3 linked regions of the Nothobranchius furzeri genome follow. The protein of the gene in region 3 binds, or shares a complex with, the protein of the main gene of each other region. Links are inferred from orthologs where the notes say so. Each region holds a gene or a part of one and is shown on either strand. Other genes may lie near its edges.

Region 1 (9,522 bases), about 24 Mb from region 3:
AAGCAAAACTACACACTTAAAAGTAATGAAAAGTAGCATCAAACTCTACCCTGATCCTCCTCTAATCAGTGTTTTTACTTCATGTTTTTGATCTTTTTCCTAACTGAAATCCATCATGAACACAGAAAACATCACCTGATGAGCTGCTGAAGACCAACTCATGCAGTAAACTATTCAACTATCCCATGTGAGCTTATTGAACAAGATCAAAACGAATTAAAGGGTATACTTTGTGTCATCAGTGCACTATTACATCTAGAAAACCTCCTCTGATACAAGGTTATTGTTTAAGTGCAGAAAATCATAGATGAAATAAAACTAACAAGCATTTTCTCATGTCTGGACTGGAACGGTTTTCACCAAACTTCATGGAAACTAACTTTCACACAGAAAATAACCCAATAAAAAAAGATAAATCACTGCCTACTTCAAAAAATAAACCTGCTCTGGCCACAAATAACTTTAATAAAAGTGAACATAAACAGGCAAAGAGACAGAGAACCACAGCAGTGCACAAAGTGCTTTTGTCGGATAAAAATGTCAGAGACCTCTCTTTTAACGAGGTTATTCAGTTATCTTACTAACGATTATAGTTTGTTTCATTACAAACATTTTAGTGTCATATAAAACTATTTTTGTCACTATAAACTACCAAAATAATATAATAAACAGGTGAGCTGAGCATGTTTACTATCCTACTATGTAGAATAACTGCAAATACAAAATGTACTCAATAAAATATCAGATTGATTTAAACAGTGGTGCTTGAAAATTAGGCCAATATAGAATTTTCTGTGTTTCTACAAAACAGATTTGTGATCAGGCCAATTACTTGCCTGTCCTAACGGCTTACTTCTGAGAAATGATGTGTGCTCGAAGGATTATTTGGGAATTTGTTCCAAAGTTCAAGTGTTCCACCATAAGATGGCATTGATGCAGACATCAGCTGCTCATGTTTTAGCACAATTAGCAACAAGTAAAAAAAAAATGCTAAGGCCCAGAAATCGTTCAAATCTGACTGTTAACCCTCAATGAAAATTTCAGCACTAACTGCTAATCCAAGTTCACAGTTGAACTTCTCACACACATCTAATAATTTTACTCAATAAATGTTATTGTCATGTTTTCTGATACACTGGGTCATACTTTTAGTTTTCTTGCAGAAACACAGAAAACCCTTTGTCGTTCAAAAGCCTCCAACCATGGCTGTGCTCGTTTGACTTTGTTTTAAGTGCAACATGTTTTACATCTGACCTTTAATAAGTTTTTATAAAGGGAAACCACTGCTCAAATGTTAAATGACAACAACCCCCCCCCCCCCAAATATATTAACTTAAATATAATTAAAAGTTAATTATATTAACTCTATTGGAATTTTTCTATTCATACTTTATGTCTCACCTTAGTGATATTTGTTAGGAGATAATTGAGTACCAGCTCTGAATATTCGTATAGAAATTAACTTAAAAGCCAGATGTTTTTTTTTTTTTTTTTTTTTAATATATTGACAGAGAAACCAGTAAGGGTTTGACCCTACAATCTTTCTATTTCAGGGCAAAAAAAAAAAAAAAAAAACAGAGGTAATATTTTTCACTGTTAGAATAGCACACAAGGCTGGAATGCAACATACAGTCCTGCAATCAGATGGGCTTATACAGTAGAGTTGTGACGTACTTCTTCTTATAGCGATGAGTCGCACTAAGCACCATCACTCCATCCTGTGGAGGAATAAAAACAACAAAGAATTTAAAAGTTAAAGTCAAAATTCTCTGTTTGAAACTATATGCTTTTTGTTCTCATGAGATTTCTGCTGATAGTACATTGGCTCTCCTCCTTTCATTCGGGAAATCAACCCAGTAGGATGTAGTAAAGAAAACCAAAAGAATAGTTCTGCTTTGCAGTTAATCACAGTATGACACATGTTATTTTCAAAGGGAAGTCCCCAAAACCCCAATTTCCTGACATTTCCCAGGGCTGTCACAAGCAAACACTTGGCTCTTATCCTAAAACACTCCAAACCTCATTGTTTCATTTTCTCATTCTTTTCATGAAGTGTCTGTTGAGCCTGTTTCAGTCTGACAGCTATGAACCCATCCACTATTCATTTCAGATTTCAGCAGTTAAAATGTGTCTAATTAGATAAAATTTATATAACTTATAATCATATCTGCAAATTTGATTTATTTAATGCCACACTTAAGAATAACACTTGAATCAGTTCCTTTTAAAGTGGAGTTAGTGTAAGTAGAAACTTTACCAACTTGACCTGGGACAGCACTTTGCAGCCCTCTGCTGGCCAGAAACAACACTTAACAGTTGTGTAGAGTGGCAGGTGTCCTAGGGGGCGCTCTTTACCTACTTAATGGCTGTTAGCTATTTTCTCTGTCGCTAGCTAATGAAAGGCTAGCAGTTAGTTTTTTCAGTTCGCCGACCAGCAATAAAAAAACACAAGAAAAAGAAAAAAAAGTTTGCTTTTTTTGTTGGCATCATGGTGGAGCCTGGAAATACAGTCAGAGAGTAATGTCTTTGGGGATGAAGCAAAGAGCTAAAACCAGAGTGAACATCGGTGTGGCCTACATTACTTTGAGGAAGCTGAAGGAGGCCCTGAAACCATAGGCTGATGGTGACCTGGCTTTGTTGCTACTGAACTTGTAAGTAATAATACTTTTTGTCCAACAGTGTTGATCTTTTTAATTTGTGGTTTATGTTATCATTAGTAGGCTCATGTTAGTGTTAGCTCGTTGTTAGCACTAACTACAGCAGGCTGCTGCACGACTGTTTTTCACCAGTAGGGCAGAGGAGCAGGAAGCTGTTTAGTGTTACTTTAAAAATAGTTTCAGTAATGTATTAATAAAACTGCACGCATCTTTAAATATTTGACACTTTCTGATGTATTTGTTACAATCGTTCATCGTAACATTCAAACTCATCACCTCAGGTAAACTTAAAGGAAAAAGATTAGAAAACGACTATCTAATCAGAGTCTGGGTCTGGGCCCTGCAGTGTAAACTCTGCTCGTTTGATCTACCCATTTTTTCCATTTAGTCTGGAACTTCTGTCTTTATTTATATTCCGGCATGTGAGATCAGTTTGTTTTTCCGGTCAGAACGCTGCAACAAGTGCATTTATTTGTCCTTCAGTCATTTTTGGCCGTTTGTTATCATCGCTGGCATTTCTCCCTCGTGCTTTATGGGCTCTGAGCTAGTTTACTATCCACGGTAACGGCACGCACCTTCTAGGAAAAATCCAACAAAGCTGGTCATTTCTCACAATGCTGGCTGATGAAAGGACCTCAGAATCGTCACACTTTTGGTAAACTAGAAACTGTACCTTGATGGAAAGAGCGTAGAGATGGTTGAGCATGACGTGGTTTGGCTCTGGGAGTAAAGCAGGATCACACTGAAAGCAAGACATAAATATAACAAAACAGCAATCAGATTTGTGCAGAAAAATGATTTCTAATTACAGTAAGATGCTGTTATTTATCTAAATAAATAATGCACCAGAAGGTGAAAACAATAAGAACGGAGAATTTACAGCAGAAATATCTCAAACACTCACTGAAATCCCAGTGTCCTTGTTCAGGATGACCTGGAGGAGGTGAGGAGGGAGGATGGGTGGAGACTTGGACTTCTCGTCTTGTTTAGGAACATAAGCGTCCTGGTGATATGGCCCAGGGGGAGAGCTAGAAAGGTCTGAAAAAGGAGAACAGAGACAAAGAAAAACCCTAATTTAAAATGCTTTCTGTAAATCTAGGTGTTTTTCTTTTGTTAATTCCCATAATTCGACATTTTCTTACATGTTTATACCAAGAGGCCAACAGGGCAGACCTTATCTATGGCAAGTTTAACTGTATTTAGATAAAATGTACATTTGAACATGAATCAAATTTGTTTGACAGAGTTTTACATTTTCTCAATCTGGATTCTGTGGGGGGTGACAAAAAGGAAAGCAAGCCTTCACCGGCGCTCACCTGAGAGGTCAGAGGATTTCTGTGAATCCACCATTAGAGCATCAAACACCTCAAAGTCTGTTTTCTTCACCTGGATGACGTTGTTGACTGTGCCGAGGTTGCTGGTGATGACAGGCTGTAAAACATAACACAATCAGGTTCCTAAAGCTCACCTAGAAACAGACGAGACACTAACTTCCTCATTTATGCATTCTGGACTATAACCATGAAGTAGGAGCGTCAAATACACCCTCACGTGGTGCCAATGTAAAACATTGTTCCAAAGCAAGCCTGATGCAGGTCAAAGATTCTGGACAAAGACACAATGTAAAGGTTTTGTGTTTTTATTGATGTCATCATTTTTCTTTGTTTTTAAAGGTCCAGATGTAAAAATTTTTGGTGCTACCGCTGAGATCGACATCTTAGCCATGTCATGTTTTTCTTCTCAAACATTTTACCTGGTAAAATAAAAAGCAAGTACCTGAACATGTCTCCCTAAAGCATAAATGTTCCACTCTCTAGAACATTGTTCAAGGTTAGAACATATGATAATGTGTTTACATCACAGTGTAATAAAAACAGGCTCTGTCCTTGAAAAGTATGATTGCACCAGAAATGCTAAGTGCAATAACATTTCAGGTTATGCAAAACAAAACTACAGCTAATCACTGAGTGATGCAACAGTGAAAAGAAGCTGTTAGCTCTCCAGAGTTTTCAGGGTGGTAGCAGATCTGTAATGTGTTTAGCTTTAGAGGCCGAGTCTCCTTTGCGGAGAAGACAATTTCCAGCTTAGGATTTGTGAAATAACGTCTATTTAAGGTGGAACATTTTAAGATGCTGTTGCTTACCTCAGCAGGGTCATGTGTCCACTGGCCATCCACATAAAACTTATACTGATGCTCCCCTTCAGGTAGATCAACGATGGCTGCAAAGGTGTTCTGACTTTGACAGATTACAAAGAGGACCAAAAGTCAGTTTAGACTGTAAGTAAGTAAGTAAAAGTTTATTTATATAGCGCCTTTCTCAGATATAAATCACAAAGCGCTGTACAACATGATAAAGATCAGGGCAAATACCTCTAACCAATAAAAACATCAGAAAAACAATAGCAGTGATAAAGTAGAAAATAAAATAATGAGTATAAACAAAGTGAAGGTGTGAACCCAAACAAAGCCATCTTTTAGAACATTTAGGGAGGGAATGCCTGGATGAAAAGGTGAGTTTTTAGATGATTTTTAAAGACCTGTACAATGTTAGAGAGATGAAGATTTGAAGGTAGACTGTTCCAAAGTCTGGGTGCAATAGTCTGAAAGGCCCTGTCCCCTTTGGTTTTCAGTCTGGTTCGAGGAACAGCCAGGAGGTTTTCAGATGTGGATCGGAGGTTCCTTGAGGTGGTGTGTGGGGATAAAAGCTCAGATAGGTAGCTTGGAGCCTGGTTGTTAAGAGCTCTATAGGTCAGGACTAAAACTTTAAACTGTATTCTATATTCTACCGGGAGCCAGTGGAGGGACTGTAAAACTGGAGCGATGTGAGCGCGTCTGCTGGATTTGGTTAGGAGTCTGGCTGCTGCATTTTGGATGGCTTGAAGGCATGAGAGGGAGGTTTTGCTGAGACCAGTAAAAAGAGCGTTACAGTAGTCTAAGCGTGATGACACAAAGGCATGGATGATTTTTTTCCAGATCTGCAGTAGAAACCAGTTTACGGACTTTTGAAATGTTTCTCAGTTGAAAGAAACAAGAGCGGGAGATGGTTTTGACGTGTGAGTCTAAACTTAAGGCTGGATCAAAAATAACTGGACTTCTTTATCACATTTTCCAGAATAAGCCTGTTCTCTTATTAGAAACATATATGAATGTCTCCACCTTCGTATAAGGGGAATCTTGTTGGCCCAGTTGTTGAAGGATCCAGAGATATAGACCTCCTTTCCATCTCCAGTCCAGCGAAACACTGTTGGTCGATCTAGTGTCGGTCCTTTGTCTTCTGCCTCTAAGTCTTGCTGCCACGCGAGGAACTCCTCCTTCTCTAATGGAGCCTGGAACACACATTGAAGACCAAATTTAATAGCTTTTTTCCCAACATATTTTTCAGTGGTCTCTAGTTTAAATCAATGCCTCGTGAGTCGATCACTGTAGGAAAAAAGCTGTTTCAGGAAGTAGAATTGAGCCAGATGAGAGGTGAGTAGAAGATGGCAGGATTTGGAGTCTTATTTCCTGATATTTGGACATTTCACATCTGATTGGCTAACACCAACACGACTTTCAATCACAGACTCTGTTTGGTTTCCAACGTTGATGTTTTATTTGAACAAATAAAACAAGTCTGAAGGAGTTCTGCTGTGTTGTGGAGTCGCTAATGCTAACAGTTAGCTTCTACTAGCCAAGACATGGTGCGTCATTTGAAATCCCAGGATGTCCAAGGAAAGTCCCGCCTTTCTCACCTCTGATTGGCTGGAAGGGCACTCCTACGATAGGCTATTTCATGTAAGAGGAAACAGATTTCCCTCGCTGCAGGGTTTTTACGTTTACAGCCTGATCTTGAGGAGTTTTCTGAAGAAAATGTGACCTTATCGCTATAATAAACATCCTTTCCTGTTTTGCACAAACCAGTTTCAGTTTCTTTCATAAAATAACCTGAAAAATGTCAAAATGTGTCATTAGTTTAAAAATAAAGTATTAAATTCATTTTTATAGACTATATGTTTGACTCTGAATTATTATTATGAAGTGTGTGTTTCCCTGGCAGTCCAAAGAACCCAAGTTCATATTAAATCAAATATTCAAAGACCAATAAGGTTGATAATTCATATTTATATGGAATATCACATCTTATTGATCATTCAGTAAAAGTAACCACTTCCATCAAGTTACATAATAAATCTTGTTGCATCACACTGTAGACTGATTAGCTCTATTGGGGTTATTTTATTACTTAATTATTAGGTTGTCCTATGTCTTCACTTTAATAGGTTAAGGCTGTTTACAAGTTAGAGCACATCTCTCATCATCAGATTAAAAGTGTATCATTTATGGTAAATGGCCTGTATTTGATATAGCACCTTCTAGAGTCCTGGAACACCCCAAGGCGCTTTACAACACAATCAGTCATTCACCCATTCACACACATATTCACACTCTGGTGGGGATGAGCTACTATGCAGCTACAGCTGCCTTGGGGTGCACTGACAGAGGTGAGGTTGCCATACACAGGTGCCACCGGTCCCTCCGACCACAACCAGCAGGCAAGGGGGTTAAGTGTCTTGCCCAAGGACACAACATTTAATTTAAAGCTGATTTAGACCTACTTTTAACCAGTTTTCATTATTCTAGAAAAGAAACAGACCTGATGCACACAGCTGGGCAGAATAGGGCAGTTTTATTAAATTTTGTACCCAGGTAAGGCACATATGTTTATCCTATGTACTCTAATGCTTGAGAGCCAAGAGATATAAAGTAAATCAAACAGTTTGATAAATGCAACAAGATTATAAATTCACTTTTTTTTCAGTTTTTTATGAAACATAAAACATAAAATATTTTGCAAAACAGGACAGAATGGTTATTATAGCGCTAAGTTCACAATTTCTTTACGAAACTCCCCAAAACAGCTTTCTGCTGGTGGCAGGACAGTCTGCACTTAGCGAGGACAGACTGTTTGGTGCTAAATGAAATAGCCAATCATAATAGAGCCTTTCTAGCTAATCAGAAGTGAGAAAGGCGGGATCTTCCTTGGACTTCGTAGGATTTCAAATCTGGATGTTAAATCAACAACAGCCTTCCCCATTGCAAGCCAAAATGGGTGAGTCCATGCAAACTTGACATTGTCTCGTGCAAATGTCACTAGCTTTTCTAATCTGAGTTTCACCCATTATTTTTTTCTATCTACAGCTAATGCAGGAAATAACGGTAGACTATTTTCACATTTAGCCTGCTTTTTAAACTCAGAGTGACCAATCGTATTAAAACAAAAATGGTTTCTCAGTTAACTCCGTCTTTTAGGGCAAGATAATTATATAAATATGAATCATTTTCTTGTATTTTGTTAAGAGTTGTGTTTCAAAAACAAGTATAGCGTAACCAGCATCTCCCCATGAGACAGAATAAATACCTTCATATCTTCTCCATGAAAGATATCTGCATCCTCTGGGCTATCCATTAGGATCTTTGGCCTTTCTCCTTCTTTGATCCCTCGGCTGTCCCTCCGCTGAGCCTTCTCTCCATGACCTATGGCAGCTCTCTCGCTGCTCGTGTTTCCCATGGTTTTGTTTTCTTGTAGGATGTCACAAGGTCACTGCAAGTGAACCAAATCAGAAACTCAGAAAACATACTTCAACAATGAATAAATCATTGATAGCTGCTGGTGAGAGTTGGGGAGGAAAGACTCAGCTATAATATTACAGACTATATTTTTAAATAGCATATACTTGTTTATACTATACATGCTCATAAAATAACACATATAAACAGAAACTGGAAAGTTGCAGGGTGTTTCGGGACAGAAATTCATATTTTGAAGAGTTCAACTAAAATGTTTTGTTAGATTCAACCTGATCCTCACATAATATACCTCCCAGCATGCCATTTCCAGGAAGCACCATGATAATGGCTATAAAACCTGCCTGGGAACCATGACACTGGGATTATCTAGTTTATTCTACGTATGATAATGCTTAGTCACTGTCTGTCACGTGATCTACAGGTCATAAACATTAATGGATTACTATGGGATGCTTCTAATGGGGAAAACTGTTACACACAGATTGAAAATGACATTAAACCTAATCAAACAGTGTCAACACCTTAGAAATAAACGCTGAATGTGAGTCTATAGCTGAACAGTGAAATCACCTCCAGGTGACCCATATTGTGCCTGTTTGCAATAAGGAGAGATCACAAAGGCTCATTGTTTAGAATATGCGAAGGATATAAAAATAATATTTCTGCACAACATTAATCAGCTGCAACAGTTTATGCTAAAATATTAGGAGCGTATACAAAATGTGTTTGCATGTGACAAAAGGTATAATTTGAGCTAAAGAATTAAAAAAAAACAGCTTTAGCAGTAAATAATGTTACGTAGTAATCTGCTGGTAAAACTTCGTTGACGTTTTAGCAACCTGAGACCGTGACAAACCAATAAAAACATTAACAGAGTTTTATAAAGCTGCAAATAAAGCACCCGATGCTAATACTTCAGCATTTTCACCGTTAACTCATACAGAGGTTACAGCTAACATTTCACTGAAGCTAGCAACCAAAGGTTATATTAGCCCTACTGGCTAAAGACAGAGGTAATAGGGATTCACAAGTGCAAATGGCAACTATGAACACAAGATGACATTTATGGCATTACCTCAGAAACGTTAATTATAACAGATACCGGTCTCATCTGCTGCATTTTACTGGTGTCGACAACATAACTGGGTTCTTCTGCAGCTAAAAGATCCGCCCCCTGGACACGCATGCGCACAATAGGTGTGGGGAAAATTCTCTCTATATATAATATATAATATATCAAATTAATTTACTTTTTACGAATGTATCATAAATAAATAAAAATGTATACTATACGTT
Region 2 (11,081 bases), on a different chromosome or scaffold from region 3:
GGATGAGACAACAAACCTCAAATGCTCTGGCGAATCATCTCATGGTTAAAGTGGCTCCTCGTCTCAACAGCAAGTCAATTTTCCTTCCACTTAAATTATTCATACCGTACTCTCTTTTATTACTCACCAACTTTACCTTTCAGATGGTGTGAGAGGAAAAGACGTGAATCCTGTTACACAATAAAATCAGTGATTTTTGGTTTCAGATCACTGATGAGAGTGAAGTTCCTTTTACTTCAGGAACCTACCCATCTCTATTTTTAGTTTCTGCTTTGTATCTGGTTTAAGCTGCACTACATTGTTCGGAGCCACCTCTGCAAACTTTCCAGTTAATGGTCTACAGGCTGTTATTTACTCTGACTGGGGGTTGGTGTCTCCACACCGAACTGATGCCGAGCACAAATAAATCTGTCGTGTCTTTTGTTAAAAACAAGAAGCAAACGAACTAACAGGAAAATGGAAAACGGCCTGTATTTTATATAGCGCCTTCTAGAGTCCTGGGACCCCCCCCAAGGTGCTTTACAACACAGTCATTCACCCATTCACACACACATTCACACGCTGGTGGGGATGAGCTATGATGTAGCCACAGCTGCCCTGGGGCGCGCTGACAGAGGCGAGGCTGCCGAGCACTGGCGCCACCGGTCCCTCTGACCACCACCAGCAGGCAACGTGGGTTAAGTGTCTTGCCCAAGGACACAACGACAGCGACAGACTGAGCGGGGCTCGAACCTGCAATCTTCCAATTACGGGGCAAGCACTTAACTCCTGTGCCACTGTAAATGGGCTGATCTAAACAGTTTGGCCTTTATTACCACTCAGTTTTATTTTACTGAATTATTTATGAATCACAATAGTGGAACTGATCTCGTCTTCACCACATGCTCTCATAATCACTCAGTGTGTTTACACGTGCATCTAAGGCCCTGTCCACACGTAGCCGGGGTTCTGCCAAAACGTAGATATTTTTCTACGTTTTGGCCTGTCATCCACATGAAAACGGAGTTTTTTCACACGAAAACGGATCTTTTTAATAACTCCGGCCAAAGTGAAGATCTGCGTTTTCTCCGTTTTGGGTGTCTGCGTGTGGACAGACAAAACCAGAGTTTTAAGGTCTGCAACGCCATTTTCCGCGACAAAAAAATGCTGACATCACGTGTGCGACCTGTGTTTACACTAGCCGACAGCATGGAAGCCCTCAGAGCTGCGCTCGCTTTATCAATTGTCCAAGCACTTTTTGCTTGTTTGTTTTTGCAAGCGGAATTACTGCTCCTTGCGGAAGACCACAGACGAAGGACGAGGTTAAGAACGGGGGAAGTACTGCCGCCTACAGGTCTGGCATGTCCTTAACAACGTATTTATCCGGGTACGTGTGGACAGAGTTTTTTTTTTTAAATGAGATGGTGTGGATTCAAGTTTTTGGAGGGGCGGATATTCGTTTTTAAAAAAACCCGGCTACGTGTGGACTAGGCCTAAGTTGATCTAATACATTCATTCTAGTTTACATGTACGTTAGAAAACGGATCTCTCAAATGAAGTTCGTTCCACTCCGGTGCAGTAGGTGGTGACATGTGCTCTTTCACGATGGCATTCTTCAGGTTAGCTTACAGACCCGTTGAAGTAAATTTTGTAAGTCAATTTTATTTATATAGCACTTATGACAGGCATAGAATCACAAAGTGCTTCACATAGATCAAAACAAAACAATGATCTCAAAACAGAAATAGATTAACATCAGAAAAAATTAAGTAAAATAAATGGAAGAAGATTACAAATTTGAGTTAAAAATAAGAAAATAAAAGATTTAGGTAAAAGCAGCTTTAAATAAAAGGGTCTTTAGCTGTTTTTTTAAAAGTGTCCAGACTGTCAATGCTGCATAAGGATAAAGGAAAATCACTCCAAAGTCAGGGTGCAACAGTCTGGAAGGAGTAATCACCTAACTTTTATATCTGGTCTTTGGAACTTCTAGAAGGTTCTGGTGTGTGGACCTGAGGGCTCGGGTTGGAGCATAAGGCTTTAACAGTTCAGTAATATAGGGAGGAGCTTGACCATGTAGAGCCCTGAGAGTTATAGTCACGATTCTAAAATGAACTCTAAAGTTAACGGGTAACCAGTGCAGAGACATTAGAATAGGAGTGATGTGTGCTCTTCTGTTTGCTCCAGTTGGGAGCCTCGCTGCAGAGTTCTAGACCAACTGAAGGCCGTCAAGGGCTTTTTTGTTAAAACATGTGAAGAGTGTGTTACAGTAATCTAGACAGGAGGAGATAAAGGCATGGAGAATCATTTCAAGTTCATGTTTTGACACCAACCTTCGCAGTTTGGAGATATTTATGTGATCAAACAGTTTCGGACCAATGTTTTTGAGTGGCCATCAAGAAACATTGATTGGTCAAAAACAACACCCAAATTCTTCAGGTTTGTCTTGATGACTAATCAGGGGTACGACGATCAGGGGCAATGATATTGAAGTGTGACGTCACGTGCGCGCCCCCCCCCCACCCCCCACCCAGCTTCTGGCTAGAAAGCAAGAAGCCAGCACATCCATGTTGACCCCTGTTGTGTTTAGCTGTCAGTTGTCAATAAACAGAGCTAAACAACAGCAAAATAAAATCTATCAGCATGGTTAACACATGTAGAGCTCTAGGCTGCACAAATAGATGAAAGAAAGACAGTAAAGTTACATTTTACAGGTTTCCAGCGGATAAAATAGGCTGAAGGCTGTGGTAACAGGCAATTCTAGTGGATAAACAGCCCACATCGTGGCAGACAAAGTCTCATGATGGGATAAAACAACAAAATATCTGCTCCACATGTGCAGACACAAACAAGTTATAGCCATCTAATGACGTATGTATATTATTATATAATTATGCACGGCTGCAGGAACAAGGAGCCGGCTGGGGAATAACCGACCGACCGAGCGGAGGCAGCAGTGGGATGAACTGTGCTGCAGATCAGTCCTGTGAAATAAATGTGTATGAAAGTGATAACGCCGGTGTGGTGCGTAGTTCTGTTGTAACCCGCGGTAACAGTCTTGTTACAATAATTTCACAAAACGTTTTTGTGCAATTGGAGCGGGCAGCTGCTAATGTCATTAGTTTGTGTTTCTGTTAACGTTGCTCGTCAGAATAAGCGGAGCATCCGTTAATCTCCAAAGACGAGCGGTGTCAAAGTCAAAGAGATCCAGTTACTACTTCGGTTCAGCTGCGCAAAGTCCAGACGGCTGGTTCTTGTTACTTTGTGGTGATAATGTCAGAAGACCACTTCTGCAGACTCGTCACATTCAGCAGTTACCAGTATCAGCTTGGCGGAGCCGTTTACATGCAGATGCAGTTGTGTTCTACCGCATTATCTGGTTACGATAACAACCAGTTCACCTTCAGCAAGACGAACATGTTTACGTGATTTTAAAAAATCACGTCAGTCTACTTAGGGCAACAGTTTGGTTTTCTGATGTGCATGTAAACACACTGACTGTTCTGAGACATTTAGACTAATTTAGGAGGCACTGAGAATATGGTGAATGATAAGAAAAACAAGCAGAGCAAAGGTGGGTCTGCTGTACCTCGGATGGATCATGGAGCCACTGTCCATCTACAAAAAACTTGTACTGGTGCTCTCCTTCAGGCAGGTCCAGAATGGCTACAAAGTCATTGTGACTTCAAAAAGAAAAGAGTTTAAGTGCAACACCAGATAATCTAAACTGAATAAAAACATTTAAGTGATCTCTACTCCTGCAGCTTGCTCAGAGGGGGAAAACCCCGGTCCTCGAGAGCTGCCATCCAGCATGTTTTAGTCGTTTCCCTGCTTCAACACTACAGATTTTGATCAGCAGGTGATTAACAAGCTAAATAAGCCACTGAGCAGGTGACACAACCATTAAACAAAGTGAGTTGGAGCAGAGAAATAGCTAAAACATGCTGGATAGTGGCCCTGAAGGGCCAGTGTTGTCCACCCCTGAGCTAGCTCCTAGTGAGATAGAATTACAAAATAATTTGTTTACCTTTTATTTAGTGGAATCTTTGTGCTCCAGTTATTGAAAGAACCGGCTATGTAGACTTCTTTTCCCCCTCCAGCCCAGCGGATTACAGTGGGTCGAGCCTGAGGACCAGTTTTAACCAAGTCGTCGAGATCTGGGGTGAATTCTTTTTCTCCTGATGTCTAGAAGCAGCAAACGTGCAACATCAATAGATATTCAGAAAACTGATCACACAGAGCAAAGAAACGATTCTGCACCCTAGTCGGAATTGCCGGAGGGTTACCTTTGACTCAGGTCCATGGGTATTGAAGATGTTAGGGTCATCTGTGCTGTCCACCAACTTGCTGCTGGTCTCTTGGTCCTTGTGACTCCCACTGCTGTCGGAGCGTTGGGCCTTCGCTCCATGGCGATCAGCAGATACTCTGTCACTGGTGTTTCCCATGATGCCTCACAGCCTGACTTCCCACTGCAAGGTCAGGAGAATTGTTTTGCTATGAACATCCAATTTTACAAAACTCCAGCCGTTTAGACACTAACAACCACAGCTTAAAATGCAACTAAAATTTTGTTAGTAAGAAATTTGCCTTTTGTCAAGGGAACTTAAAAAGAAGTTATTTGTCTGTTACTGTCAGTGCGCCCCAGGGCAGCTGTGGCTACATCGTAGCTCATCCCCACCAGTGTGTGAATGTGTGTGTGAATGGGTGAATGACTGGTTGTGTTGTAAAGCGCCTTGGGGGGTTCCAGGGCTCTAGAAGGCGCTATATCAAATACAGGCCATTTACCATTTATTTGAGGTAAATAAATGGCTTTTAAATTTCTCGTTTTAATTTGCAAGATAAAATTGTAATACAGTAAATAGACTAGAACCAGCCAGCAAAGAAACTCCACCAATGTTTCCCAGAACTGCACCTTACATTACACTAGAGACCCTGCAAATGTATAACGCTGTTGTTAACACAACACATGTGAATCAAGATACTACAAAGACACAAAAAAGTTTTAGTTTATGATTTTACACTTTACAAATATATAAATCAGTCCAATTAGAAGTCTATTTAAAATCCCATATTAGATAAAAATGTTAAATATTTGTATTTGACCACTAACCCAAGTCCCATGCCTGATCAGCTGACCCAAACCATTGCTGAAGACATCTAAACAGACAACAGGATCACAATCAGGAGATCAAGGTGTCATGAAGAGACCCAGTTTGTATCAGAACGTGATGACAGCAAACAGCTGTCCACAGTCCAGTGTTACTGCTGCAAAAACACAGTAACTGATGTGTTAAAATGACTGGAACTGTGCGTGCATCACTGCTGCGTATGACAACGGTGAGCTGTGTGGTTTAGCCCAAAGGCTTAACGGCTTTAAAAAGCTTTTCTAGCTTCATGAGCAACAGGTGAAACCACATGTGCCGTATCATAAAGTCAACGTAACCCACCACTGCCCGCTGGACGTCAGGCTGTTCCTGTCCACCTCAGCTCAGCCAGGGTGAATATTTTTAGATGCTGCTCGCAGTTCAACTTAGCTAGCTACCAGCAGCCACTACTAACAAACAAACAAAAACGACTTGTCTGCTTTAATAATGACTGCTAACGACACAAATTATGCAGCTAAATAGAAACGCTTTTGGTTTCCCGTGTAGCTACAAAGGAGACACTCACAAGCACCAGCTGCCGCTCCTCAGGACAGCAGTTTGTCTTCAAACCGAAGACCTGTCCGCGTCCTCCACTTTTCACAACAGCAGCACAGCGGGGCTCCGAGTACGGCGAGCGCAGAGGCCAAAAAGTGATTTTAGCCAATCAGGAACGGGAAGAGACGTGACGTCAGTTACATTTGAGGGGTTGTTACCTTTGTAATATCTAAATAAATACGTTTGTTTTCCTCTTTCAACGAAAATTAAACTTTTTCATTGTTGTATGAAAAAATTATAGAACGCACACAGAGGAAAAATAGAAATTGAAGTATTAGAATCAATGTAGTTTACGTTTGGAGGCAAGAAACAAAGTAAACAAATTCCATTCTGAAAAAAAAATCACATTATTCACAATGAAGTTTAAAAGTAGCTTTATTTTAACTAGTAGCGCCAATGCTTTAGAATATTTAACAAAATACATTGCGTTGCCCAAGACATTTTTCAGATGTTATAAGCTGATTATATTAATTTAATGCTTTGTTGCTTTAAATGGGCACTTTTAAACTTTAGTTAACATTAATAACTATTTTAACATCTCAGTATCATAACACTAAAATTTTTCAAGATCCTGAGAAATAAAAACAGAAATTATGCACTATTTCCATTGATTATTTCAGGTGAAAATGGTGGAGGGTAAGCCAGCTGATTGTTTAGTTTGAGCTGATCACATGGAGCAAACATCGTGCAAATAAGGTCCATACCGATGAGAACAAAGAAGGGACAAAAAAGACCAGGCAGTGTTGATTTTTGGCTTAAAAACTTTGCAGACCTTTTATTCTTACAACCAATGTTTGACACTCTCCATAAGAATAAATACTAAAAAAAAAAAAAAAAACAGCATTAAATTGGTCTCCTCCTCAAGTTGCAATTCATTAAGCTATACTTAAGTTAAATTTCATTAAGCGCTCATGCAGATAATAAGGTAAAATATCAGAATATCTTGAGTTTTTTTATTTATCCATGAGACAAGTAGAAAACCTGTTACACCAATGAACAGTCACTGTAAAAAAACAGAAATTACCACTTATAAGCAAGAAGTCACCAGAACCTCCAAATGCAAAATTAGCTGCCTACGTTTCTATTGGGTTTCCTTTCTGTAAACACATTAATAACTAGTTTTGCTTCGTTCGACTCCTCACCTTTTTCTCCCGCAGTTAACTTAACAACAGCAACTTCTCAACTCAACAAATCCATGCTTATTATTAAAGACATTAGTGATTTCAAACATGCATATAAAGTCATTTGTCTACATCAGATTTCAGAAAACATAAATAATATTAACTCTGAATAAAAACAGCTTGGGTCTCATTCAAACTGCTGATCAGAAATGTAAAGAGAAACCACTCACTGTCCTCTTTAAATAGTAAAAATCCCATTTTAAATCATCTGTTTCAAAGAAGAGACACGTGACAAGAATGTGGTCTTTGCAGGTATTTTCAGTCGGACCTGTTATAACAGTTTTTAATCAGTCAGTCCAATAAATAAGCTTAACTGAAAACGTACAGTACATTAAAACAGTATATGCAGCTAAAAAACTCATCGCAGAGATTTGCATCAAGAGGCTGTAAGGCACAATTAAATGATCACAAAGAATATGGGGTGAGTTATTTTCACATTGCACAACATGCATGTCTTTGCACACACACACGCACCCACACACCCACACGTGTGCGTGCGCACACACACACACACACACACACACCCACACACACACACACACACACACACACACACACACACACACACACACACACACACACACACACACACACACACACACACACACACACACACACAGGCATTGTTCCACCGTTAGAAAAATGTGTTGTTTTTAAAACCAGCAGCTACCACCTGAACATTTGCAGTCCTGTAAAACAAGTCGTTTTAAAACTAAAAAGTGTAAAATCCTGTCTCCAGTGTTTAGACGTGTGCAAACTCAGACAGTGTTGATTTTCTCATTCTGACACAAATGTGGCAGGTGACTATTTTCCACACAGAAAATAGTTTTCCGTTAAGACAAACTTTTCCTGTCACAGTCATTACCTGGAAAACATTGAAACTAAATATATAATGTTGTGTTTTTTTACTATTATGTAGCCTCAGAAGTGTGTGTGTGTGTGTGTGTGTGTGTGTCATCTATTGTTTGGGACAAAGTGTAAAAGTAGAGAGTGTGTTATGTGCAACTTTAGGATAATAAAAGAAGCATGCACACCACAACTGATTAAAACACTACTGGCAGGCAGCTCTAAAAAAACCATACAGCCTTCCGTCCGATGAAGTCATGCTCTTTACGTTGGATGTCCGTCTGTCGTTTTGGAATTTTTTTTATTTGCAGGCTTTTTTCCAAGTCTGATAAAACACTAAATGATCCTCTTTTTGTTCACGCTTATTTTGAGATTCCTAAGCCAGTCTTCATGTACTCATAAACCACATAACTGATGCTGACAGCAGGGATGACTTTCATGAAGTTTGGCAGGATGCCACGATAGAGCCCAAAGAAGCCATCTTTGGCTACGATTGTCCTCAACAAGGAGCTCATGGAGGGCTGGTCTGACACATCCAGAGACGCTGCAGGAACAAAAACACTCAGTTACATGTGCAGCCCGCATGTCTGTGCTTCATGTTCTAATACTGACACACTGTGCAGATCGGAAAGTGTACTAAACAAGTTTATAATACTTTTTGATGATGGGATCTCTGGCGCAATTATGTCTTAAGTCTTGTTTTAGTTTCTACTCAGATATAAACAGAAGTTTGACTTAATGAAGAACCTATTTTGAGTTTTATTCCAGTGATTTGTAACCAGAAAATCAAAAATAGGGACTAATTCACACACATACAAAATGACTGAAACAAGCAACTAAGAAGATAATTTATAACTTGTTTTTTTTATAGGATGATAATAAAAGCACTCTTCTCAGAAGAAGGTCAAAATGGGAAATGGCCTGTTTTTTATAGGGCCTTCTTAGGGTTCTACAACCCCCCCAAGGCGCTTCCGCACATGCTGGTGATGATGATGCCCTGGGGCGCACTGGTGCAAGCAAGACTGTCGAGCACTAGCACCACCGGCCCATCCAACCACCAGCAGCAGGCAAGGCGGTTTAAGTTTCTTGCCCAAGGACACAACAACAGCATTTTCTGGTGGCAGCTGCGATTTAACCTACAACCTTTGCATTACTGGACAACCCGCTCTACCTCTTGAGCTACTGCTGTCCCTAAAATAAATAGATATGCAAAAAAAAAAGGGGAAACACTTTACAATAAGGGTCCCTTTATTAATGCTACTTAGTGCATTATTAAGCATTAATAAACTATTAGATAATGTATTAACATTGCTTAACCATATTATGTAATGCGATGCTAAGAAGACCCACCCCAACCCGTTGTCCTAACCTTGAGGACAGGTAATAGTTAACAATACCAGGAACGTTTATAAAGGGTGTGGCGGTGCGCTGGGACGTGCAGGTCTGTGGGGCAGCAGAGAACAAACATGACAGCGAGAACGTGCACAACCACAGCTGAGGTGCATCAAAAATCAGATGGCCTCCTTTACATATACAGGTGGCAGACGTGGAGGAGGCGTCTTCATCCACGTGAACTCGACTGGACCGGTGAGATCCTGGAACGCCGATGAGCTACGAGGATTGAGTGAGGAGCAGCCGGAAGTCTGTGTGTGTGTGTGTGTGTGTGTGTGTGTGTGTGTGTGTGTGTGTGTGTGTGTGTGTGTGTGTGTGTGTGTGTGTGTGTGTGTGTGTGTGTGTGTGTGTGTGACCCCAGCGTAGCTGTGGTGGCTACAAAGGGACTCTTTGTTTATTAATGCTTAATAATGCACTGAGTAACATTAATAAAGGGACCCTTATTGTTAAGTGTTATAAAAAATAACTAATAAATAACTGGAAGAAAGAAGCAGATAAACTTTTAGTTTTGATTTAAACACTGGATAAATGGTTAATAAGATTCATGATTAAAATTTTTATATTTAAATGACAGAAATGAGTTTGAATGTGAAGCTAAATGTAACAAAAGCATGATTAAAATATTTATTTCAAATGGTAACATGAACTGAAAATACCAAACAGTAAAATAAAACATAATGGAGCTGGATGGAAGTAGCTCGCGAAGAAAAAGCTTTAAAATCATGGCTGAAAAGTAAATTTTTTAAGCTAAAGGGCTCATTTATCCTTCAAGGAATCAGTCTAATTAATGAGATTTAACATCCAGGTCAAATAAAACCTTTTAGCTACATGCTAACAGGAAACTGTAGAAGGATAGTTTTAGCTGTAGTGTAAATGTCCGTCTGCGTTTACCTTGCGCCTGCATCCGTGTGCGTACGAGTGCGAGAGGATAGCTGGCCAGCTGGCCACAAGTACTGGAGATGGTCCCACAACCCAGCAACACCAGAACTCCAGGGTTAGCCGAGTCTTTGGCGTGATACGACAACCAGGTGTTCTTTAGAGTCTAAGAGCAACGAAAAGGTTTCATTCTGGATCTAAAACAGCAAATGAAAAAAGCAACACCGGAGGAGGCTTCCTTCGTCTCGTACCTCATAAACAGCGAGGTCTATACCAGCGTAGGGAATAATGCCAATTAAGTTTGGAACGTAGCCCTTATAGAAAGCAATGGCTCCCTCCTTCCTCAGGATCTTCTTTGCACAGTCAAACATTCCTGCATATTGGCCAGTTTTCCTCAAGGTCAGGCGAGTTTTTAGCACCTGAAAGACAAGAAGCACAAAAAAATGACCCCTTTTCACTTTTCTCTCATCCCAGGAGGCGACAGGTGGATTCCTACCTCCATTGGGTAGATGGCCGTCTGTGCTGTGGCTCCAGCCATAGAGCCGGCGATAAACCTCTTATGTGTCTCAATCTTCTTTCCCTCTGATGACAGCAGCTTCTTATACTGTAAAAGATAGAACATCTGTACATACAGCCGCTAACTGTCTTATAGAACAGTATCTACAATCATATGTAGGAAAAAGTTTGATTTAAAGCTTCGGACTTGTTCATAAGCCATGAATTTGATGGCCGTCTCAGGCGCGATCTTTAAAACATTGATTCCATTTCCTCTCCACAGTGACATCAGACCACCCTCCATGATCATCTGCCTGAAGCCTCCAATCAGATTGATCCTGTGGGTTTTGGATGAATGAACCTGTGACGTAAACACACAGAAGCTTAGCCACATTGTTTCACACTGTACCTATCGCTGTGTAACCTTCACGTCTTCACCTGCATGAAGACCTTGAGTCTGTCCAGGGGGGCGGTGCCAGTGCGGGAGACGGCGCCTGCTGCTGCACCTGCAACGAGCTGCTTCCACCAGACATCCGAGCTCTTCTCCTCCTCTGTGAATTCGTCCGGGATGGAAAGACTGTCTCCTATATCCAGCACCTAGAGATTAAACAAGCAG
Region 3 (10,312 bases):
AAATGTGTAGATACATTCATCCTGGATTTCAAAGATCTGTAGAGCCGAAACTGGAAAAATCCAAACGCTGACAAGTTTTAAACAAATATCTAACTTTTAGGAATTTTTTTTGGTAGAAATGAGAACTTCTCCAAAAAAATAAGTTACTTTAATTTACAAAATTAGAAATCAATTTTACATCTACTTCAGTTTTTCTTAAATTCCAACCATCATCTTTACAGGCAGAGATGAATTACAGCTATTTTGGCAACATGATCCCATGTGTAGATTATGCAGTAAAATCCAAAACATCTCTAGAATATCGGACTTAACTTGGTGAGCTGAGGCTGAAAATATAAAATATGAACTTCAACCTTTAAAATTGCAGAGGTTACCAATAATTCAGGCCAGCAAAGGGCTCAAACCTGACATAAAAACTGATAAACAGTACGAATAATAAGGCAGCCAAATGGACACCAGTGAAAACCTTTAAGACTAGACAGGAAATGGAACAAGATCATACATATCCAAGACTCTTACCTTGCAAATTCTTTTACTTATTTTGTTCTGTGCCACACGTTTACTAGCTCGCTTTTATTCTTCATCTTTCTCACCATTTACAGTACCAGCAATGATCTGGTTCAGGTTTAAACAAACGATGTGCAACCTTTAAAGGAATGTGTGAGCGAAACATAAATGATGTTGACGGACGCCGTTGACGCACTGCATTTAATTGCTGCTCGTTTAAAATTGAGCACAGAGGCCTGAACACACGTGACTGATTGGCATTTCATCAAATGAATGTAAGCAAAAGACATCCCATCCAGTAATCATACTCCATAATCCAAAAGAAAAGAAAAAAATCATAATCAACTTGTCACTGTAATAAACTGATAATGATATATTTCTAGACGTTGACCGTCGTTGCAAAACACCTTCTAAAAAGCAGACTAGTTCTCTAGAAAGACAATCAAGTATCTGAATAATTGTGATTGAGGGAAACAAAGGTGTGACACTGAATTAAAAACAGCTAAAAATGAGTATATATTTAAACATCCAGCATTAGAGCGTAATGAAAGAAAAAACAAGTCATTGGAACCAAAACTCCATCCACTTAATGCATTGATAAATATTTTCAGGTATTTATTTATAAAAAAAAATATAAGTCGGAGCTGGACAATCGGTCACAACGAGGACAGAACCATGAACATTTAGTCTTTGACATTTAACAAAATAAAACCCAACATGGAGCATTCTTAAGTCCCTGACACGTACCAGAACCACAGAGGCCACTGCACTAATGTGATGTGATGGGAATGAAACGCTGCGGCGCTCTGGGACGTCGGCACCGCTTCTCTGATCCCTACTGAGGAAAAAAGGTAATAAAAAATAACAAAGCAGCAGAAAATTACAGAAACTTGTGCAAAAGTGCTTCCTGCATCCTATGAACATCACTCAATCCTCAAACTGTGGCTCCGCCCCCTCCCCGCAGCAGGTAAAAAATAAAAAAAGTGATCTTGTTCTCTGTACTGAAAAGCAGGCCTTGCAGGCTACAGCACAGAACGTTCAGTGTAATCACTTCTGCGTAATTTGTAAGTTGGGATGTTGATATCTGCTTTTAAACAGATTGAGAAATTTAAAGACCTCCCCCTCCCCGAAATGTTGTTTCCTGCTCTAGCTAGCTGGGTAGCGTAATCTCAACAACTCCTAGAGACCCAGTCAGCTCTGTATGTTTCCCCTCTGCACAGAGAACACCAACCTGCATGAGCGCCACGGAACAATCACCTCATCCTCAGTTGGGATGAAGTAAGCCATGAATCTGTTCCATGCTTATTGCTATAAAGACACTCAGAGAAGAAAAGGCTAGCGATGATTGTTTTTGCAAGCTATCGTGCAAGTAGTTTAATAAGATTCGCGCACATTTCAAAGAACTCGATGGTGTGGCTTCCTGGTCGAGGGGTGTTCTCCCCTCCCCCCGTCGAGTCGATGGACGAGGTCGAGGATGACCCTAAGGACCCTTCGGCGGTCTTGGTGGGCTGCACAGTGCTAGACGTGGCTGAAACGTCCGCCCCATCGACATCGTTCTTAGTGGTGGTGCGGTAGTTGCTCACAGAGCCAGAGCGGAGCGGGGTAGCAGTTCCAGACTTTGTCTCCACCATTTCATCTAAATAAAAAAGAAAAACTTTTTTTTTTTTAATGTATCCAAAAACAGCTCAATCGAGACCAAACAAAGGTAACATTTGAAAGCCCGCATGGTAAAAGCTGTGTGTACAGAAAACACATCAAACTTCCCAAAGGCCAATTTAGTGAACCCTTTCTTGCTCACTGTCTCGAGTGAAAACATAAATCTAACAAGTCGTGTTTGACTTTGATGACGTAAGTCTAGTTTTACCTCAACAACCTTTATACAGCACGCCTGTCCCACATAAAACACTCCGAACATTTCCCTTTCAGGTCCGTTCAAACAGCACAGACTTCCAAAGCCTTGAGCTGCACGTCAATCATTTATGAAATCTTTAGCAAGGCTCCAAACTACAGATCAGCACTGCGGACACGCAGGGAGCCACGCTTCAGCGTCAGCGTTAGACAGCTTGTTGTTTGTTTGTTGGGGAATTCCTAAAAAAAAAATCTGACAATTAAAAAAACAAAAGTTTTGTAATAAAAACATTTTGATTCCCCTCCAGAGCTTTATACTTAGAAGTTGGGTTTCTTCTTGTAAATACACGAGTCAGACATTTTTGCCTTTTTTTCTTGCACAAGTCAAATATTTAACAATCACAGTTAACGTTTTTTCACTTTCTGATTTTTCACACTTTTCTTGCAAATGTCTAAAACAAAAATGAGGAAATGAAGAAAATACCTCCCAAAAAATGTGACGTTCCTGTTTGAAATAAAACATTTTCACATTGGGATTACACACTTTTAACCCCCCCCCCCCCAGCTAAATGAATAATATTTATAATCTGCAGCAGCCTAGTGCATGTAGGAGTCATATGTCTGGACAGCAGTCCCTCTCTAAAGGACACCGGGTCTTGGTGGGTTAATGAGTGAAGAAAAGCATCTCTGTGTTAAAGCTCAACACAACAAAAGGTTATTTAGTTCTAATTAGTTACTAGCTTTTAAATAAATGTACTCTATGGTTTCAAATTCAGCTATCTTAACTATTTTCACTGCAAACAGCATGATTGACGTTTTTGTATCAACACAAAGCGTGTCAGAAATTCTGGCTGTTGCCATAACAACCAGGAGGACAACTGCTGTCCTCGTCTTTTCTCACATTAAATATATTGTTCAACATTGAATTTGACCACAAATCCAACTTCTCTGACACGCAGTCTCGACTGTATTTCCTCATCATTTTTGTTTTGTTTGGAAAACCGACTCTCCTCCAGACTGTGCTGTTATACATTCCAACGAGTGTTGTTTATTTTTTTTCACTATCACACCATCAGCTGATAGGATGACAGTTCAGCGTGCGGCCGCTCGGAGCAGCGTGGGAAAACTTACCATCTATGCTACGAAAGTCAAGGAGGTAGGTTCTACTGTCCACCTGGTACAGTTGAAGGCTCATCTTGGTTTGCATTCCAGTAACGGGATTCTTCCTCCTCACGCGCAAATAATACGGGTTCACCACCTGGAAAAGTTTGAATGAAAAGAGGAATTGTATTTTTTTCATGCGACTCGGGTAAAAACAGCTTTTTGAACATATTTAACAATATTCCAGAGTTGTTTTCCTCCTAAAGACTTTGCCGTTTACCTTCCACTCATAATCCAGCTGCTTCATGGCCCGACACACTTCCGTCATGATATCATTGGGCCTGCTCTGACTGCGGATCCCCAGGTGCCACTTAGCCCTCCTGACACCCTGGTGCTTGGACTTCTGGGGGTTCAGTTCATCCAGTGTGTGGCGAGGCCTGGGAGGAGTCTCTGCCAGCAGAAAGGGCACGCGCTCCGGATGGGGTTTGGCGATGCCGGCCACGGCCGCGCCGGATGATGTCAGGTGCTGGTCGTCTAGGAAGGAGTCGGGCGGGCTCGACGCCAGGTAAAAATCCTTGGCTTCGCTCATGATGCGGCGATTGTCGATGATGAGATGGTAGGCGACGGCTAATGGATCCTGGTGGTTGCGGCTGTATAAGCAGGTGAGGACCTCCTCCTCTGTGCACTCGAACTTCTCACAAACTTCCTTTAGGGCCTCGTCGTCAATCATGTTGTTGCTATAGGACGGGTCCTCGGGGAACAAGTACTTGGGTAGGTCCTGTTTAAACCACTCATCCTCTCTGTGGGGAAAAAATGCGGCGTGAATAAAAACCACGGATCATCGTTTATCTGTGTCAAATTAGTAAACGTTCTCATTGGGCTTACCGGATCTCTTTAATAGTGGCTCTTTTCATTGGGTCCACTTGCAGCATGTGCTTTAGGAGGCTAACTACTTGAGGGTTCAGGTACTGCGGGGTGAAAAAGATCCCGTCGCAGATCTTTTTAAAAAGTGTTGGCACGTGATCATCGTCGAACGGGAGCGTCCCACACAGCAGAGCGTAGAGGATGACACCGCTACTCCATATATCCACCTCCGGACCAGCGTATAACCTGAACACGAGCACAAATACGCCACTGTAAAAAACACAACGTTCGACTCTTCTGTGTTTGTGTTCACAATAATAAAAGATGGCATTACCTTCCTGAGATGACCTCCGGAGCAGCGTAGTTTGGAGAACCACAACTTGTTCTCAGGAACTCTCCGTCTGACATCATGTTTGACAGACCTGCACAGCAGTTTGCACCATCATGGCAGGGCAATTCTACCGGATACTTCTAAAATGTAATAATCTATTAAAGGGACTTTTTTCCTTACATTATAATAGTTCAATGGTCAATATAAAACATGTTAAGATTTTTAATTGATTATTACTGATATTTCAGTACCTTCCAGAATGAGCCATTTCAGGACTCTGTCATTTAAAGAAAAACAAGCTGGGGGGGGGGGGGGGGGGGTAGGCCCACCCATCCACCGGCTGCTATAAGCTGAGATGTAGGGCTGAATGATTTTGAAAAATAATCTAATTGCGATTTTTTTCCTTTAATATTGCAATTGCGATTTAAAGCTTCTTTCCGGAGTATTTCTCGTATCCGATGGCACCATCTAGTGGCTGACAAACATCACACACAAAAACTCTGTTGCATCGGTTTGTTGAAGATGGCGACTTCACGTTTCTGTTTATAAATGTGCTTCTGTAGCCGACAAACAGAGCTAAAACACTGTTGTAATACTGTTTTACGAGTATTATTCTCAAAAGTATTGGAATTTTAAACAAAGTCAAAGGTTTTCTAGAAATTTCAACGCTTCAGACATTACATTACTCATTTATCTTACCATACTTAACTTATTGTATTGAGGTTTGGGGCAATACGTATAAAACAAACACTAATCCTTTGTTTCTGTTACAGAAGAAAGTTTTGCGAATTCTATATAAAGCAAATCCAAGAGAACATACTAACAAATATTTTGTTCTATCTAAAATTATGAAATTCAAAGACTTGGTTAACTTGAAAATTTTACTAATTATGTTTAAGGCTAGAAATAATTTGCTGCCAACTAATCTACAAAGGTCCTTTGTTTTGATCCCAAAAAATGATAAGAGTAGAAAGAAACCAGAGTATAAAGGATATTTGTTCGTACTACATTAAAGCAAATGTGTATTTCAATATATGGAGTGAAATTATGGAATAACCTGGATGATGAATTAAAAAAATGTACAGCTACTGATCAATTCAAAAAAATGTATAAAGATAAAATGCTAAAATCGTATGATTTGGTGAGTTGAGGATGGAGGATCAATGTTTTAGTAGTGATATTATTTGTGGAAGTAAGAGAGCGGTTTATTTTTTGTGTACAAGGCTATTTTGTACTTTTTGTTATTTATCTTGTCTTAGTTAAAGGGGGTAGGTCATATAAGATTTTTTCTTCTTCCTCCCCCTATTTCACTCGAATGCTTATATTCTGATTTGAAGTTTGTATATTTAAACTTTGAGTGAAATAAATTATTGAATTGAAATGAATTGAAGTCATGTTGTGTTTTCATATATTTATATGTTAGAGACTTACTTGTCCGTGAAAAGTTCATCAAACCTGCATCAGCCGAGTCATTTCTTAAATTTGAAGCAAGTAAGCGATAGTCTAACGTTATTGGTTAGTTCTGGTCGGCGTTCAGTTTCCTATTGCACGGAGTTCTGTGGGGCAGGAGGCGTGCTTAGCAAAAAATAAATAAAAATGACGTATTGCTTACATTACATGATAAGATAATCACTTTTACGGATTTCTGACATGACATATACATAATTTCTGAAAGGGGAAAACTCCGGAAAGCAGCTTCAATTCACGATTATTTTCTCAAGGGGCTTTACTCATAATTTTCAACTAACAGAAGAAAAAAAAAACTGCAACTAGTACTGAATATAAACAAGTATATATAGCTACATATCTTATCAATAAGATTATTTGTCTACATATACATAAACACTCACAAGTAAAGACAATTTTTGTACTTGAAAGTGCAAAGCTGATTTAGTGTGTCTACCTGTGTACCCCTCTGGGACAAACGGACAAGATTAAAATCTACACAAAACCCTTTAGGGATGGGTACCGAATTCGGTACTTTTTAAGGTACCGACCAAATTCCATAGTACCGACCGAGCACCGATTCACGTCATTTGAAACGGTGCCTCGTTTCGGTACTCGTCCTTCATAACGAGAACTTGCCAAGACAGCTGCGCATGTGCAAGAGCGTTATGTCGGTCGCTGCGAGCGAGTTGTAAACAGAGCAGCATGGGTAGAAAGAACGCACGCTAAAGCTTGGGTCCACTTCACTAAATGTGATGGGTAACTGGGTGATGATGAAACCAGCGACAACGATCTAAGTGAGACATCCTCATCTTAATCTGCTCCGGTAGGTAAATATAATTAGCTTGATATGTTAGCTTCCGTTTCGCTAATGGTGCGTTCGCTTTCTCCTCGGAACTGCAAATTTCCGACTAGAAGAACATGAACGCGCTCTAAAGTTTGGCTTCACTTTACTAAATGCAACGGGTGATTGGGTGAAGATGAAACCAGTGACAACGATCTAAGCGTGAGGCATCATCGTTTTAATCTGCTCCAGCAGTTAAATAAACTGTTTAAGATAACGTTAGCTTGATATGTTAGCTTCCATTGCCACCGTTGTTATCAGCTAATGGTTTGTTCGCTTTCTTCTCTGAAATTCTAACTTTCCAGTAGGAAAAATCAAATGAAAAAGGACAGCAAAAGGAATGAAGATACACAGTAAATTTAGTTCACAGTAAAGATGTTTGCTTCAGTTTAATTATCAGCTTATAAAACTACAAGGACGATGTTAAAGTACAAACAGTTGTATGTTATTTATCATGATATTTATCAAATATGGTTATATATTGAGGAAAATATATATTTAATTATAAAAGAGAATTAAAATATTAAACACTCAAAAGTATCGAAAATTGGTACCGTTAAGTACCGGTATCGATTCCTAGGTACAGGGAATTAGTACCGAATCGATTCAAATGTCAAAGGTACCCATCCCTACAACCCTTCCAAAGCCTTTGTTGAGATTTTCCCATCTGGATTAAAATCCATTCACACCAGCAATAGTTTTCTCCTTCCTTGAGTTTGCGGACATATTTCTGGCATAGCTACAGCCAGCAACTGCTAACTAAAAAGGTGTTATAACGCCTCATCTCAAGTGCGTAATAATGCTCTCAAACTCACACACAGAAGACATACTGGAATCTTCCCATAACCACAGAATGCTTGTTGTACAACCAGAAACCACGGAGTTTACCTTTGTGATCAGGAGCCAGCTCCACCTGCTCACGCTCCCTGGTTTATTTCTCAAAACTCACCAAAATCTGCAATTTTTGCATTCATGTGTGCGTCGAGCAGCACGTTCTCGGGCTTGAGGTCTCTGTGTACCACCATGTGCCTGTGGCAGTAGTCTACAGCTGAAATGATCTGCTGGAACAGTCGACGGCTCTCCTTTTCTTGCAGCTGTTGCAGCAGAAACGACACATTAGGTGTGATTTTACCTGTGACTAAGCAGCAGTCAGGACACCGCTGAGACTATCAATACACGCAAGCACGCGCACGCACACACACCTCTAAGGACAGCTACAGTATTGGCGAGTATTACCTTTCCATTCTTGCAGATGTAATCGAAGAGCTCTCCTCCGGAGACATACTCCATGACCATGAAGATATCAGTAGGGGTACTAATAACTTGATATCTGCAGTAATAAAAATACAGGTAAAATAAAACAGCAGAGGAATACAATACATTTAAAACAGGTCAAATTGCAAACACTTATTATTGAGCCTGATGACTTGCATCTGCACGACTCACCAAAATAGGCACATAACACCGTGATTTACGGCATGTCAGATAAATAAAAGAGAAAGGCCCAAATAAGTAACTCCCTGTTTGTTGTTGCTTTATTTTTATAACTTGCTACCAGTAGAACATTTGGCTTTTCTACACTGACTGATCAGTCACCTGTAGTTAAAACTGGGCGGGGCATGTCAACAAGCTGTTGGCATGATGCAAAACGTTGTTATTTTAGCCCAGATGAGGGCTCTGCCCCGCAGAGCAAAACATTTAGTCACTTTCCACTTTCTGAGGTCTGAATGTAAATGAAGAGGAAATGACAGTGCTGCATTAACAAAGGTACAGCGGAAAATATTCAGACCCCCGTCAATTATTGCAGCCATTTGCTAAAATAAATGAAATTTCTTTTTCTCTCATTCATGTACACACTGGACCCCACACTGACAGAAAAGCACATACATTTTAGAAATTTATGCAGATTTATTTTAAAAATGACAAACTGATGTATTTCATGGTCCTAACTATTCACATCCTATGCTGTGACACTCATATTTCACTCAGGTGCTTTCCATGTCTTCTGATCATTCTTGAGATGGACCTACACCTTCATTTTAGTCCAGCTGTGTTTGATTATACTGATAGCAGCCTTGCCTGCTGGTGGTGGTCGGAGGGACCGGTGGCGCCTGTGCTCGGCAGCCTCGACTCTGTCAGTGCGCCCCAGTGCAGCTGTGGCTACATCGTAGCTCATCCCCACCAGCGTGTGAATGTGTGAATGACTGATTGTGTTGTAAAGCGCCATGGGGGGTTCCAGGACTCTGGAAGGTGCTGTATCAAATACAGGCCATTTACCATTTCAGTGTGCAAGACACATGAAAGTCCACACAGAGTTTCTAAAAGACACCTGAAGGACCCCGAGATGGTGAGGAATAAGATTCTCAGGTCTGATGAAACCAATATATAACTTTTTGACCTTAATTCCAAGGGTGTGGAGAAAAACCAGGCACTGCTCATCACTTGTACAATACATTCCTCACTGTGAAGCATGGCGCTGGCAGCATCGTGATGTGGGAGTGTTTATCACCTCCAGAGACAGGACCACTGGTCTCAATCGAGGGAACAATGAGTGCGGCCAAGTACAGGGATATCCTAGACAAGAACCTTCTCCAGAGTTCCCAGGACCTCAGACTGGGCAGAAGGTTTACCTTCCAACAAGACAATGACCCCAAGCACACAGCTACAAAACGAAACAGTGGCTTCACAGCAACTCTGTGACTGTTCTTGAATGGCCCAGCCGGAGCCCTGACTTAAATTTGGTCAAACTGCTGCAGTATAACAAAGAGTGAAAAATTGTGCCTCAATTATTTACAGCAACATGTGTGAACGGAGGCTGGTACTAGGGCCCGACCGATGTTGGGGTCATTAACAGTATCGGCCATCGACCAAAAAGACGGCCGATATGGCCGATATCGCGCTACCTATCCAGCAGATGGTGCCAGCTTTATGAACTCATGTTGTGTGGCTCCACTCCTTTGAACACAAATTATTGTTTTGGAACTTTTTATTTATTTATTCTTATTTATGTTTCTTATGTGCAATTATTTCCTGTCCAGGGTGAATAAGTTCACCAAGTTAACTTCCACAGAGTGTTACTTTGTTACAAAGCACAAGTATTACGTTTTATTTATTGCTGCATTTTTATTATTTTAATATTCTTATAGGGATCTTCTGTCCCTAAACTTGTGTGTGTTGTTAGATTCCCCAGAGTTAGCTAAGTCAGAAAAAACATGTTGTAACCAGTTGTTTTAGCATAAAGCAATGGAAGGGAAGGCTTGCATTCACCTACGTAAAAAAAACTCTAAAATGTATGTGAATTCACTTACATTGTTTTATGCTAAACTAAGAAAACCAACTGCTGCCAGATCATATTGGGCTGGTTATAAAAT

Evidence for each region.
Region 1: the proteins of prkaa1 (region 3) and prkab1a are in contact, whole or in part, in a crystal structure (PDB 6C9H), measured with the Homo sapiens proteins. The link is inferred for Nothobranchius furzeri from reciprocal best matches to the Homo sapiens genes PRKAA1 and PRKAB1. Residues at the interface, in NP_006242.5 of Homo sapiens: Gly20, Val22, Lys23, Ile24, Thr32, Lys40, Lys42, Asn59, Arg60, Ile63, Arg64, Val69, Ile72, Arg73, Ile76, Gln77, Val93, Ser95, Thr96, Pro97, Ser98, Asp99, Ile100, Phe101, Met145, Met175, Ser176, Asp177, Gly178, Glu179; in NP_006244.2 of Homo sapiens: Pro79, Val81, Arg83, Leu103, Pro104, Thr106, Val113, Ile115, Asp159, Phe160, Glu161, Val162, Phe163, Ala165, Leu166, Met167, Val168, Asp169, Ser170, Gln171, Arg201, Ala202, Pro203, Pro204, Ile205, Leu206, Pro207, Pro208, His209, Leu210.
Region 2: the proteins of prkaa1 (region 3) and prkab2 are in contact, whole or in part, in a crystal structure (PDB 4RER), measured with the Homo sapiens proteins. The link is inferred for Nothobranchius furzeri from reciprocal best matches to the Homo sapiens genes PRKAA1 and PRKAB2. Residues at the interface, in NP_006242.5 of Homo sapiens: Gly20, Val22, Lys40, Lys42, Asn59, Arg60, Gln61, Lys62, Val69, Arg73, Val93, Ile94, Ser95, Thr96, Pro97, Ser98, Asp99, Ile100, Met145, Met175, Ser176, Asp177, Gly178, Glu179, Phe180, Arg199, Leu200, Ala202, Pro204, Glu205; in NP_005390.1 of Homo sapiens: Val80, Arg82, Ser84, Ser108, His109, Asp111, Ile115, Ser138, Asp159, Phe160, Glu161, Val162, Ala165, Leu166, Ser182, Ser184, Gly190, Gln191, Glu192, Met193, Tyr194, Ala195, Phe196, Glu199, Arg201, Lys203, Ser204, Pro205, Pro206, Ile207.

The regions. Positions count from the first base shown.
Region 1 is NC_091746.1:43,137,782-43,147,303, forward strand, and holds prkab1a (5'-AMP-activated protein kinase subunit beta-1a), read right to left. Parts: upstream 9,428-9,522; 5' UTR 9,302-9,427; intron 8,240-9,301; 5' UTR 8,207-8,239; coding exon 8,057-8,206; intron 5,985-8,056; coding exon 5,815-5,984; intron 4,895-5,814; coding exon 4,801-4,894; intron 4,089-4,800; coding exon 3,974-4,088; intron 3,696-3,973; coding exon 3,562-3,695; intron 3,400-3,561; coding exon 3,331-3,399; intron 1,719-3,330; coding exon 1,641-1,718; 3' UTR 1,507-1,640; downstream 1-1,506. UniProt on the Homo sapiens protein: Non-catalytic subunit of AMP-activated protein kinase (AMPK), an energy sensor protein kinase that plays a key role in regulating cellular energy metabolism.
Region 2 is NC_091751.1:56,438,025-56,449,105, reverse strand, and holds the start of prkab2 (5'-AMP-activated protein kinase subunit beta-2), read right to left. Parts: upstream 5,766-11,081; 5' UTR 5,647-5,765; intron 5,587-5,646; exon of another isoform or gene 5,424-5,586; intron 4,446-5,423; 5' UTR 4,422-4,445; coding exon 4,263-4,421; intron 4,162-4,262; coding exon 4,004-4,161; intron 3,660-4,003; coding exon 3,566-3,659; intron 1-3,565. Other genes in the region: mitochondrial adenyl nucleotide antiporter SLC25A24, read right to left, coding at 8,065-8,246, 9,986-10,136, 10,222-10,389, 10,467-10,574, 10,674-10,826, 10,904-11,062. UniProt on the Homo sapiens protein: Non-catalytic subunit of AMP-activated protein kinase (AMPK), an energy sensor protein kinase that plays a key role in regulating cellular energy metabolism.
Region 3 is NC_091746.1:66,863,745-66,874,056, forward strand, and holds part of prkaa1 (5'-AMP-activated protein kinase catalytic subunit alpha-1), read right to left. Parts: intron 8,272-10,312; coding exon 8,178-8,271; intron 8,036-8,177; coding exon 7,891-8,035; intron 4,743-7,890; coding exon 4,655-4,742; intron 4,567-4,654; coding exon 4,342-4,566; intron 4,257-4,341; coding exon 3,737-4,256; intron 3,614-3,736; coding exon 3,487-3,613; intron 2,144-3,486; coding exon 1,866-2,143; 3' UTR 1-1,865. UniProt on the Homo sapiens protein: Catalytic subunit of AMP-activated protein kinase (AMPK), an energy sensor protein kinase that plays a key role in regulating cellular energy metabolism.